Linked DNA regions of Mus musculus: region 2 is reported to be linked to region 1. Evidence: microRNA targets listed by miRTarBase, many of them from high-throughput screens and not tested one by one. Region 1 holds a microRNA gene; the other region holds the end of a gene's coding sequence.

Region 1 (5,387 bases):
AAGTGCCTGTGGGACCAGGGATGCTGGAGAAAAAGTGCCTGTGGGATCAGGGATGCTGGGGAGAAAGTGCCTGTGGGGTCAGGGATGCTGGAGAGAAAGTGCCTGTGGGGTCAGGGATGCTGGGGAGAAAGTGTCTGTGGGACCAGGGATGCTGGGGAGAAAGTCCCTGAGGGGTCAGGGATGCTGGAGAGAAAGTGCCTGTGGGACCAGGGATGCTGGGGAGAAAGTGCCTGTGGGACCAGGGATGCTGGAGAGAAAGTGCCTGTGGGGTCAGGGATGCTGGGGAGAAAGTGCCTGTGGGACCAGGGATGCTGGAGAGAAAGTGCCTGTGGGGTCAGGGATGCTGGGGAGAAAGTGCCTGTAGAGTCAGAAAGTTATCTTCTGGGTGAGTATGTGAGCCCTGAAGCAAGGTGTGGGATATGCAGCTTAGTTATATCACAGTGTAAATGTATACTTCTAGGAATTCTAAGATAATCTGGGGAGTCTACATATAAAAAGGCATTAAAACTTGATACTTACTGTCCTGATCAAAGGGAAAGGGCTGGACAGAACTTTTCTCTAAGAAATACAAATGAAGAGAAAGTTATTGGAAAAGCTGACATGAACAGTATTTTAATTTCATATACCTATTAATATTGAATAAGAACACTTTATACATCCTTGGCCCGAAGGCTTGTCAGTCAGGAAACAGGGTTCCTAAATTAGACTCTGCCAACAACTTTTTCTTGGGCTTTTAAATTTGAATTCAATTTTATGTAAATGCTTTCCTAATCTAAGCACCATTTCCTTAGATTAACCCATCCTCTTTGCCAAATAAAAGCCATCATTTAAGGGACTCTTAGAATTTTTTTTTTTTTTTAAGATTTTCATTTTATTTATGTGAGTACACTGTAGCTGTCTTCAGACACACCAGAAGAGGGCATCAGGTCCCATTACAGACGGTTGTGAGCCACCATGTGGTTGCTGGGAATTGAACTCAGGACCTCTGGAAAGCAGTCAGTGCTCTTAACTGCTGAGCCATTTCTCCAGCTCTAGAATGAATTTATATGTAACAATGAGATCCTTTACAGTGGAGAATTGCAGCAGTTTTAGAATTGTTTGTGTATTTGCATATACCTATTACTGCCTGTTTCTGCTTGTTTGTACTTCTCAATTGACTGACAATTAGACCAGGCAGTTTCCCCTTCCAGGAGGTAGCCTTGCTACTCACCTCTCAGAACGACTTTAGAGTTCCGCGCCACCGGTAGCCTCTGACTGCTGCCTCGGGTCAGCACGAGCTGAGATTCGGTAGTGGGGTACATGGACGCCCCGAGCCAAAACTGCTTAGCCAAATTGGCATCCTGCTCAGAGCAGCCGGTGAACACCAGTAATCCAGGGGAGCAGATTTCCTGGGATTCCTTCCTGCCGCTAGGACAGCCTCTGGGCCCCGTTTCCATGGTGACTCAGGACGCTTTCCTTAGCTCTGGCGTCCCGCCCCTACCGGAGAACCGTCCTGTTGGTAACTGCCACCACCGGAATGCCTGTGTTTCTTCTTCCGTAGATCTGGGGTTCCTCGAGGGCTTGTGGCCCATCAGCAGCTGGCTTCTGTCGAGGTCACAATTTTCGGGGCCAGTCAAGCCTTAAGAGTAAAAGCCTCAACTTTGTGATGTGTACAGTCCTGGACTGTCTCTTAGATCCTCAGCCAGCGTCTCCTCCTCCCCCAGATAGCCCAATAATGTGAGCTTTAAAGAGCGCCTTCCTCTTTTGGACAAGATTGCCAAGGCTTCGCACTCTTACCTCTGGGGAAATTCTCAGGTTTGCATTGATACATCTGCATAAAGCGCTAATCTAGAACTGGGCCGAGAAGTACCGGTGGATACAGCTTGTGTGATTTAAAACCTCTCAAATCTTTTATTACAGATATTAGGAAACCAGCTGGTTTTAAATCGTGTTCACTAATTATTCCCACGAAAAGTTGCCTAGAACGCAACTGTTAATACCTTAAAAAATATACCTGGTTAAGTGGGCTGAGTTCCCTTGCCCCATGGAAAATTATGAAAACATTTAACGTTCCCTTCCAGGTCACAATCATGTGTGAGACGTTTCCCTGGAGATTTTGTCTGTATAGCAACTAACCATTTAATGACTTTACGGGGTTGACAGGAGCTGAAATGGAGATCCTAAAGCCAGTTTTTGGAAAGGAAATGAACACGATTGCTGAGATTTTCGTGGCGCTTTATTTTTTAGAGTGTTATTAATATGTCAGGCAAAGTCCAAAGATTTATAATCACAAGTCAATATAATGACCAAATCAGCTAAGGGATAATTTCTATTTTTCCAATATATCTAAAAATCACAAAAAATGTACCCCACACAAATTGATACATTGTATACTTAGCAGCTAAGGGCTAGCGGTTCCCCCCCCCCCCCCAAACCACTAATAGTATGGTAAGAATATTTCCCTATGGCTCTGTCCTCACCAAAATGACGATTCACAGGAGGCTCAGTCGGAGGAATTTCAGTCTTTTTACCTGGCTGTGTGGTTAGTGATTGGTACTATTAGCAATCAGCTAACTACACTGCCTAGTAACTAGACTCAGAAAAAAGCATGCAGTCTTTAGCTGGTGCTCTCAGACTTTGGTGTGACCAGAGCAAATCGTCAGCCAAGCTGTGGTTGACTCTAGTCGCTGCCTTGGTGATAGCTTTCTCAGAAGTGGAAATCAGGCAGTGAATCACAGCAGCAGCAGGAACTGTTCTGGGGGGGGGGGGGGGGGGGCTCTTCCTGGCCTTTTTTTTTTTTTTTTTTTTTATGTTAAGGCCGGTGTATACCGATTCTCTTTACACATCACTGAACCGTTTTTGCTCTGGCTCTTACACACAGGTAGCCGAACGGTCCCTAAAGGAGGCCGCCGGTCTCCGAGGGTTACTTGCACTTAGACCTCGTGCTCCCGGCCCTTTGCTGACGCATCCTGGCTCCGGCCTCGGCTTTCTGCGGAGTCAGTGGGGCTGCAGCGCTGGCTTCTCCTCCCGCGGGCGGCGGGTGATGCTGTGCCTTGTTTTGATGGCAGTGGAGTTAGTGATTGTCAGCACCGCACTACAATCAGCTAATTACACTGCCTACAAACCGAGCACCGGGCGCCCGCCACTGCAGCTCCCGAGGGTCGGGCCCCTCGCCCCCTTTCGCCACGGTCGACAGGCGAGGGCGGCGGAGCGAGAGGTGCCTCAGGCTCCCGAGGCCCCTCCACACCCAGCAGGGCCGCGCGCGACCCCAGGTGAACCCCCAGGCGCTGAGGCCCCCTGTCCCCGCCGTCCCCCCCGAGACCCCCGACTCAGCCCGGACCCCAGGGCATCCGGCCCGAGTCCTTCTTCCCGCAAGCCGGGTCTGACCCGCCTCCAACAACTTCTTCACGGCTTCCAGACCCAAGTCTAGAGCCGGTTCTGTCCAGCCCGCGCGCCCCGCAGCTCCTACTGGCCGAGTGACCGTGGCTCAGCGACCAACCGCCCTTGGAACCCCGAGGCCGAGGGGGCGGGGCGAGTGGGGGAGGGGTGGCAGAAGCTACCAGAAGGGGCAATGGGAGGGCTCCTGCAGAGCCTCCTGGGAAGGGGCCGGGGAGATGGAGAGACAGATTCTTGAGAAGTTTATCTTCACAGTGTAGTTACTGCTACATCGAAGAAAGAAGCGCAGAGACCTACATCCATCTCTCCTTCCCAATATATTGCCCAAGAAGCCCCAGGCCTCCTCACTGTTCATATGCCCATTCTCAGAAACCGCTTCCCAGGCGTCTCATCTGGAGCCTTCCTGCCTGAGCAGGCCTGGGCACTCATACCTGCAGGATTGCCCTTGCCTGTACCCAAGTTCTTTCTTAGGACTACCTCTTACAGGGCCATACAGTGAAGTGTGGGCCACTCTTCTGGTCAAACATTGAACCAACACCCTTGTTGGTAGGTCAAAGTTGTGGCCCTTATAAGATCAAAGACACAGTTTTGATGATCTCCCCGTGAGCCTTGAGGATATCTAGTCTCACTTTGGGCTCCTGTTTTATTTAAATGTTACAAATCCAGCACCTAACAGGCGTTTGTCTTACTACCCATCAGACAGTCTAGGTGGTAACAAAATGTGAACACATTATTTATTACTCCAGACAGTATAAAGTTGCTAAACTGATAGATTTTCCTAATAGAAAAAAACAGGTATGGGTGGGGGTGGGAGGTGTGCCAACAAGAGCTGACAGACACCATCATGGAGGAGGTGAGAGTTCAGGTAGATCCTTGAAGCAAGGGTAGATTTGGACATTAAGGATGAGGTCTGTAGAAGCCCGAGAAGCCATATCTTCTGTCAGTTACATTCCCCTTGTTTTTGCTATTTTATATCTGATAACGGGGTGCGTGTTTGTGTATATTGGGAATAGGAGGCGCTGAGGGGACAGCATTTCTGCGCCATCTTCACTAATATTTCTTTCCTTTAGTCTTTCCTCTCCTTTCCTTTAATTAATTGAGCCCAGAGAGGATATACAGTATTCTCTGATTGCAAACTTTGTGGAATTCAGTAGGAAGTAGCCGTCCCAGACTGTGGTCTTCCTGTATGCTGTATGACACCCATTTGTATTGATCCAACAGTCTTGCAGTCTACAAAGGGACATTTCTTAGCTATACACTGATACCTGTAAGCCCAGCAAATGGTCTTGTAGATGCCACTAATTACATGAATATATGCCAATCATCAGGAACATTCAACACAAATTCCAAGTGGAAACCATTAAAACCCAAGAACTTCCCAAGAATAAACTTGTGTATATTTTAACATTATCTTTGAAAGTAAAAGACAATGTTTTTTTCCTTCAGAGTCATTGTTTTATGAAGGCTTAAGTGAAAGGAAAATGAAGTAGAAAATGCCAGATTATTATAAAATTAACTTATGAAAGACATTTGTAAATAACTATCTTGTATTCAGTCTTCTTGTATTTGAGAAAAGTATAATGTATCCTACAAAAGGTCATTTAAACGTTCAAATATAAATAAAAGTAGTAGAAATAGCCTCCATCCCATAAACACTATGAAGAGTTACAAGTTTTAGGAGGACATCATTAAAAAATCATTTATTTTGCATTTTGCTCAATTTCACTCCATGTGTCATGCTTCCACCCAGCTTAGGGATTTTCTCTATTAGTAGCATCTTAAATATCTTACCTGAGTTTTATTGCTTCCATCCAAAGCTATCATTGCATAAACTGTCTTGAAATTTAGACTAAATTTTTTTCTTCAATGATAAAAAGTAAAATGATGAAAAAAAAATGCGTGTGCCCTAGTTCTGTTAGAAAGCAACAATAGAAAAGAATGTCTGTTCTTAGGGTTGCTGTTGATCCTGCCCACAGTTACTAGAGAAACTCCAAGGATCTTATTGCATCTGC
Region 2 (5,387 bases), not on the chromosome of region 1:
ACAATAATTTGCTATTTCCAATAGTTTTTATTTAACAGGAATCATACTGCCATATATGTTAAACACTTACCAGTTGAATGATTATTCTTTAAAGCCCATTAGCAGCAGAAGAAATCTCTTACCTTCATACATTAGACTAGTGCTCCACAAATTATAAGGTTCACCTAGCGATCTTATTAATTTGAATTTAGTTGTCGTAACTAAAGTTTTACACTTCTAGCAAGTTCACTTGCTGTGCTTTTTGAGTAATAAGTGTTAGGTAAAAAGCATCAAGTATTAGTCCAGAAAACTGTGCTGCTCTTGATTAAATAACTGGGTACGTGGATAAAGAAAATCCCTATTAAGGACATGCCACTGAGAACAAGGAAAGGAAACCTGTAAATACAAACAACCTGAGATAAAATAACCTGTTGTGAGACATTGAGTGAGTAGGACTCATAAGAGATGGGAGTCTTAGAAGTTTCTAGTAGAAAATCATTGTAGGTTTAAAAGAATGGAACACATTTTGTTGTCGTTGTTTATATTTGAAGATCATTTTGGAGAATGTAAAGACTTTTTATCACAGTTCTTGGGGGAAGTAAGGTACCATATAAGGTGTTTGTGTTTATAGTAGAATTGAACTAAATAAGATCTATTTCTTTACTTATAAATAGTCCCTAAAAGAAACTTCAGTGCAAACGAAATAGAAGTCACATTATAAACTAAAAAATGTCCTTAAAAGAACAGGTTTCCCTGGCACATGACTACCCTAAAATACCTGTAGGGGACTTAACTGTAAAGTTCCTTTCACAGACTAGTTCATAGCCATCGTGTGCAGATAGATTCACTCAACTCTCACTTTTAAGTGGTCTATGGTATGAACAATGTATCTGGGAATTATTTTCCCAGAAAGAGCTCTTAAATTCTACTCATGTCTCAAACAGGAAAACTTTCAATATCAGCTTTGTACCATTCATAAAATTTATATATATATACAAATTCAAGAGTAATTTTCAGGACCCACTTAGACATTTTAACATCTTTAATGATTAACATTATTTGACAAAGCTTGTTTCATTTATATTATTCCCCTAACAATGAAGGTAAAGTTAGTTTGTAGAAGGAAGCAACCTTTTTCGAAAGTGAAATTTTATAAAGGGGAAGATAAAGTGATGAAACTGAGAAAGATTTCACAGAATGGGTCAGAGATAAGATGCCCAGCTTGCAAGAGGACAGGAAAGAGAGGCTAATTGAAGGAGTGCAGTGTGAGTCTGGAGTGGGGGAAGTTCAGTGAGTGAAGTTCACTTGAGTCTAGGCAATTCAATGGAGTTCAGTTGAGATCACTTTGTAAAGTCCATGCAGTGATGCTCAGCAGAGTTAGTTTGAGGACAAAGAAATTCAGTCAGCATCTGAGAGAAGCCAGTTTGAATTAGTCAGCTTGGAGAGTGTTGAGCTAGAACAGCTCAGTTTAATCAGCCAGCCAGAGTTCAGAAAGAACTAGGAAGGGTGAGCTTATTCAGCAGTAAGCTATGAGGTGAAAATTATATCTGGTGAATAAATGTTACATTTGCAAGTAAGTATTCTAAAGGGAATTTTGTTTCATTAAAAATTGGAAAAGTTGGCATTACTGATAGTAATTTTGCAAGTCTTATTCACCTCCCATCTGATTTACAAACTCTTATCCTAGGAACAGATATTTTCCACAATATGATTGTCTCACTGGACTCCTTTAGGAAACTACATTAAAATACCTATATATTCTTTCATTTAAATATACTGGTTTGCTTTTTAGGTTCTTGAGCCATATAGAGTATTCACTGATTGTATTAGCAAACACGGTATAGAAATGAGGCATTATATTGTAAAGTTCCCCCCCACCCAAAGGATATCTGTAGCATGAATTTCAAAACATTTAATATGTTGGGATGGGAAAACAAGGTTTATACACCAGCTAATATGAAGCCCCCAACACACATACAGTAGAGGACCTCCATGTCTATGTTCATTCAGAGATGATGCACCTAACTCTCAAGAGACAGGAGGCCCCAGGGAGTTTAAAGCACCTTTTGTTTAAAACAAATTTTTGAGACATGGTTCCTTTGTGTAGCCCTTGCTATATTGGAACTCATTTTCTAGACTAGGCTGTCTTCAAACTCAGAGATCTTTTTGTTTCTACCTCCCAAGTACTGGGATTAAAGGTATATGCCACCATGCCTGCTTGTTTATAAGCACATTATTAATAAGATGAATTCAAGAAAATTACTGAGAATGGCAATTGATACTGTCTATCGTGTAATTGCGTCACATAACAATCCCACTATTCCTTTATAGAATAAAAAGTTATGTCTTGTTCTGGAGTAAATATTAGGCACTTTTATCAATGAAAGATGTGCTTATTATACTCTTTACTGAAATACTATTTTTACTATTTATCCTAGAGTAAGCATGAAATAATGTATTTTTTCAGTTGAACAAAAATTACTACAAAATCAAGTAAATTTTGTAACAGTGTTTCCTGGTGAAGATGGGTCATTTGAGGAAATCATTTGAAAACATTTACTTTCAAAAGAATTTCTATTTTCTAAAGAAATGTAATCTTTATAAATTACAATAATGAGAAAGAAAGAAATGCAAAGACAGACTTTTGTTAAACTGATGTAAATTTGATAGTTAAATATTTTTAAAAGTTGCACTCTTTTCATATTGTTCAAATTTGAAAAAAGTAATATGGCTAAAGTACCAGTACCAAGATGGGAAGAAAATATCTTAGAAAACCATGTGTGGGCTTAGAAAACTAAATTTTGCACCAGCTGGATGTCAAACTTTTGTTAAAGTTCTACCTCGTGTAGGCTATATCAAGAAGAATTTTCTTTTGTGCTTGTTTTACAAAATTGCCTCATAGCTCCTATATAAACATTCAAAGGATAAAATATTTCCTGGTAAAATAGGAAGATAAGCTAAAGTTCTTTCTATTTGAAGTTTCACAAAGACAATACAGATGCTTAACATATTTTATTTAGATACATAAGAATATTTTGTATGACACTCTCCAGTTTCCATTTTATTTGACAAATCTGAAGTGAAAACATATAGAGATAGAAATGAGATGAATGGACATCTTCACCTGATGACACTAGAGTTTTCATTGAGTAACTACACAGAATTGATGAACATAGGAAGCACCCTAATAGCAGGTTAGGTTCTACACTGCCTGCAATTAGAGTTCAAACACAAAGGTTTTTCCCCCTCTCATTTGCGTGTTGCTATATCAAATATATCAATGTATAAAAAACAGACTCAGGTCTCCTGAATGACTGGGGGAACCCATCTCCAGAACTAAATGTATAATTTAATATCACTTTTATTCCTCTTATTTCTATTGATCTTAAAACGTTGGTAAAAAAAAAATGGGAAACATTTATATGACTCTAAATCACTATCTTAGATCAAACAGACTGTCTTCTTAATTGCTCTTTAATTCTGGATATTATTAGTTTTCTGTAATTTTGAAAAAGACATTCTCATTTTCAAACTGTAATTATGGCATTTTTCTGTCAAGGTAATTAAAGCATTCCATTGTAACTTTTGTAATAGACAAAAACAATACACTTTTGCCATAATTGCATATATGGGTATCTATCAGAGGAGAGAACTTGTCTGTCCAGAAAATAGAGGGGAATTGTAAAAATATGAAACATTAACATTTTATATCATAAAATATTGATAAAATAGAAATTTTATTCATGTTAGAGAACTTAATGTTTATCTTAAGTGTTATAAGAATATAAATAAGACTCAATTTCATATCAAGACCTTTTAAATATTTCTAACTCATAGTTCTAGTGCATATAGTGCCACAGCCATGCTTATACTAACTGCTTCTTAGAATAATTAGAATATGCTTATAAAGCATTGAAGAATTTTATAAAGGTTTCTGTAGATATTTTAGTACAAAACTATGAACTAAACATGTAAACTGAATATATTTGTTACCTTAATCCTAATTTGATGAGCAATGTTTTGTACCTTTTGATTGGGTTATATTATGAAACTTCCTTATTTATAATATAATAAACAAATACTTGTATCACTTTGTAACGCCATTACAATTCAAGTAACAAATTTCTAACTACATCAAAGACTCTACTATAAAATATTCTCCAAGATACAGCTATCAAGTATCTTTTACTGCTATTTTTGTTAAAGATTTTATGACTATGCAATATAGCAATGTTATGTCTGTATATCACTATGAAAAATTCTACATTCTTATGCCCACTACTACAGTACAGTATTGCGTTTTTTACAAAGTGAATTGGACCACTTGCAGAAAATATGTTTTGAAAGAACAGATTTTCCCAGGCACTGACATGTACTTAGAACTATGTATAATTCAATTAATGCATTTATTTAAAAGATATTAGCTCATTTCCATGATTAACAAAATTAACCTCCACCTTTGACTTAGCTGTTTCCAAGATATGTTAGCACTGCTGTACTCCTATTAGTCACAAGCTTAATGTGAGAAAAGTAAGGCTGTATATTTTATGTTCTAGTTAGCCTATTTTTTAAAATTTAATTGCCTCTGTTTTGCTGAAAAACAGGACTGAATCCTATAGCTAAGTTGCACATTAACATAATAGAATAACTTGTAAAGGCTCTATTGTATGAATAAGTTCAACATATAGGAAGCACCCTATATAAAAATAACAGGTTAGGTTCTACACTGTCTGCAACCAGGGTTTAAACACAAAGGTCATTTTTTTTCTCTCATTTGCACGGTGTTAAATTTCAAATACATCAATGTGTGTGTGTTTTTTTTAAAGACTCAGTTCTCCTGAATGAGGGGGAACTCATCTCTAGAATTAAATCGTCCCACTAGATCCATGGCGTAGTAACATGATTCACAATTTGATTGCACATTAGCAATAGAAAAATAACAATTAAAATACTGATGCAGACAAAGAAAATTTCCTTTGGGTTGTAGTATTGTAGAATGGGTCCATTCATGGCTAGAAAAGAAAAAATACATCTTAAAATTGGTTCACAGTTATTTTTTTACATGTACATAGTTACTAAAAATATTCAGTTGGGTATGTATACTGCTAACAGAAATGTATCTCACTTTTATACACTATTTTATAGAATATTCAATAAAATGATAATCTCCAACTTAAGGAATGTGTTTTAAATGACTGTAAAGCAAGGGGGATGGAGATTGGGTAATTTTGTTCTTATTGTCATATTTAAAGGTTAAATATGTGGTGAAATATGTGAGTCAATAAATACAGTTCTATCATTTATGAACTTATTGAATAATTTGGAACTTCTTCCTCTATACAGCTTTCCAACTTTATGTATTTCATTGCAGACAGAAGAAATAGCTATACTAGACCCTTCAATTCCAC

The links. The annotated mature microRNA mmu-miR-34b-3p reads AAUCACUAACUCCACUGCCAUC and lies in region 1 at 3,040-3,061, opposite strand. An mRNA with a match to its seed (bases 2 to 7 or 8) in the 3' UTR can be bound and repressed. Matches are read on the target gene's strand: a 7mer-m8 pairs with bases 2 to 8, a 7mer-A1 pairs with bases 2 to 7 and ends in A, and an 8mer does both.
Region 2: miRTarBase lists Pof1b as a target of mmu-miR-34b-3p. Seed matches in the 3' UTR shown: 8mer at 4,224-4,231, 7mer-A1 at 4,065-4,071, 7mer-m8 at 3,412-3,418 and 7mer-A1 at 3,333-3,339.

Annotation. Positions count from the first base shown.
Region 1 is chr9:51,100,535-51,105,921 of GRCm38, forward strand. It overlaps Mir34b (microRNA 34b), which reads right to left and starts at 3,111; the gene lies at 3,028-3,111. Hoatz (HOATZ cilia and flagella associated protein) reads right to left here and starts at 1,544. Exons shown (of 6, transcript NM_177702.4): 1 at 1,211-1,544; 2 at 520-558. The coding sequence starts at 1,436. It overlaps Mir34c (microRNA 34c), which reads right to left and starts at 2,576; the gene lies at 2,500-2,576. It also overlaps a transcript of Btg4 not described here.
Region 2 is chrX:112,635,451-112,640,837 of GRCm38, forward strand. Pof1b (premature ovarian failure 1B) reads right to left here. Exons shown (of 17, transcript NM_181579.1): 17 at 2,977-4,991. The coding sequence ends at 4,986. Among named protein-coding and RNA genes, the nearest start is that of Zfp711, 37 kb to the left of the region's middle.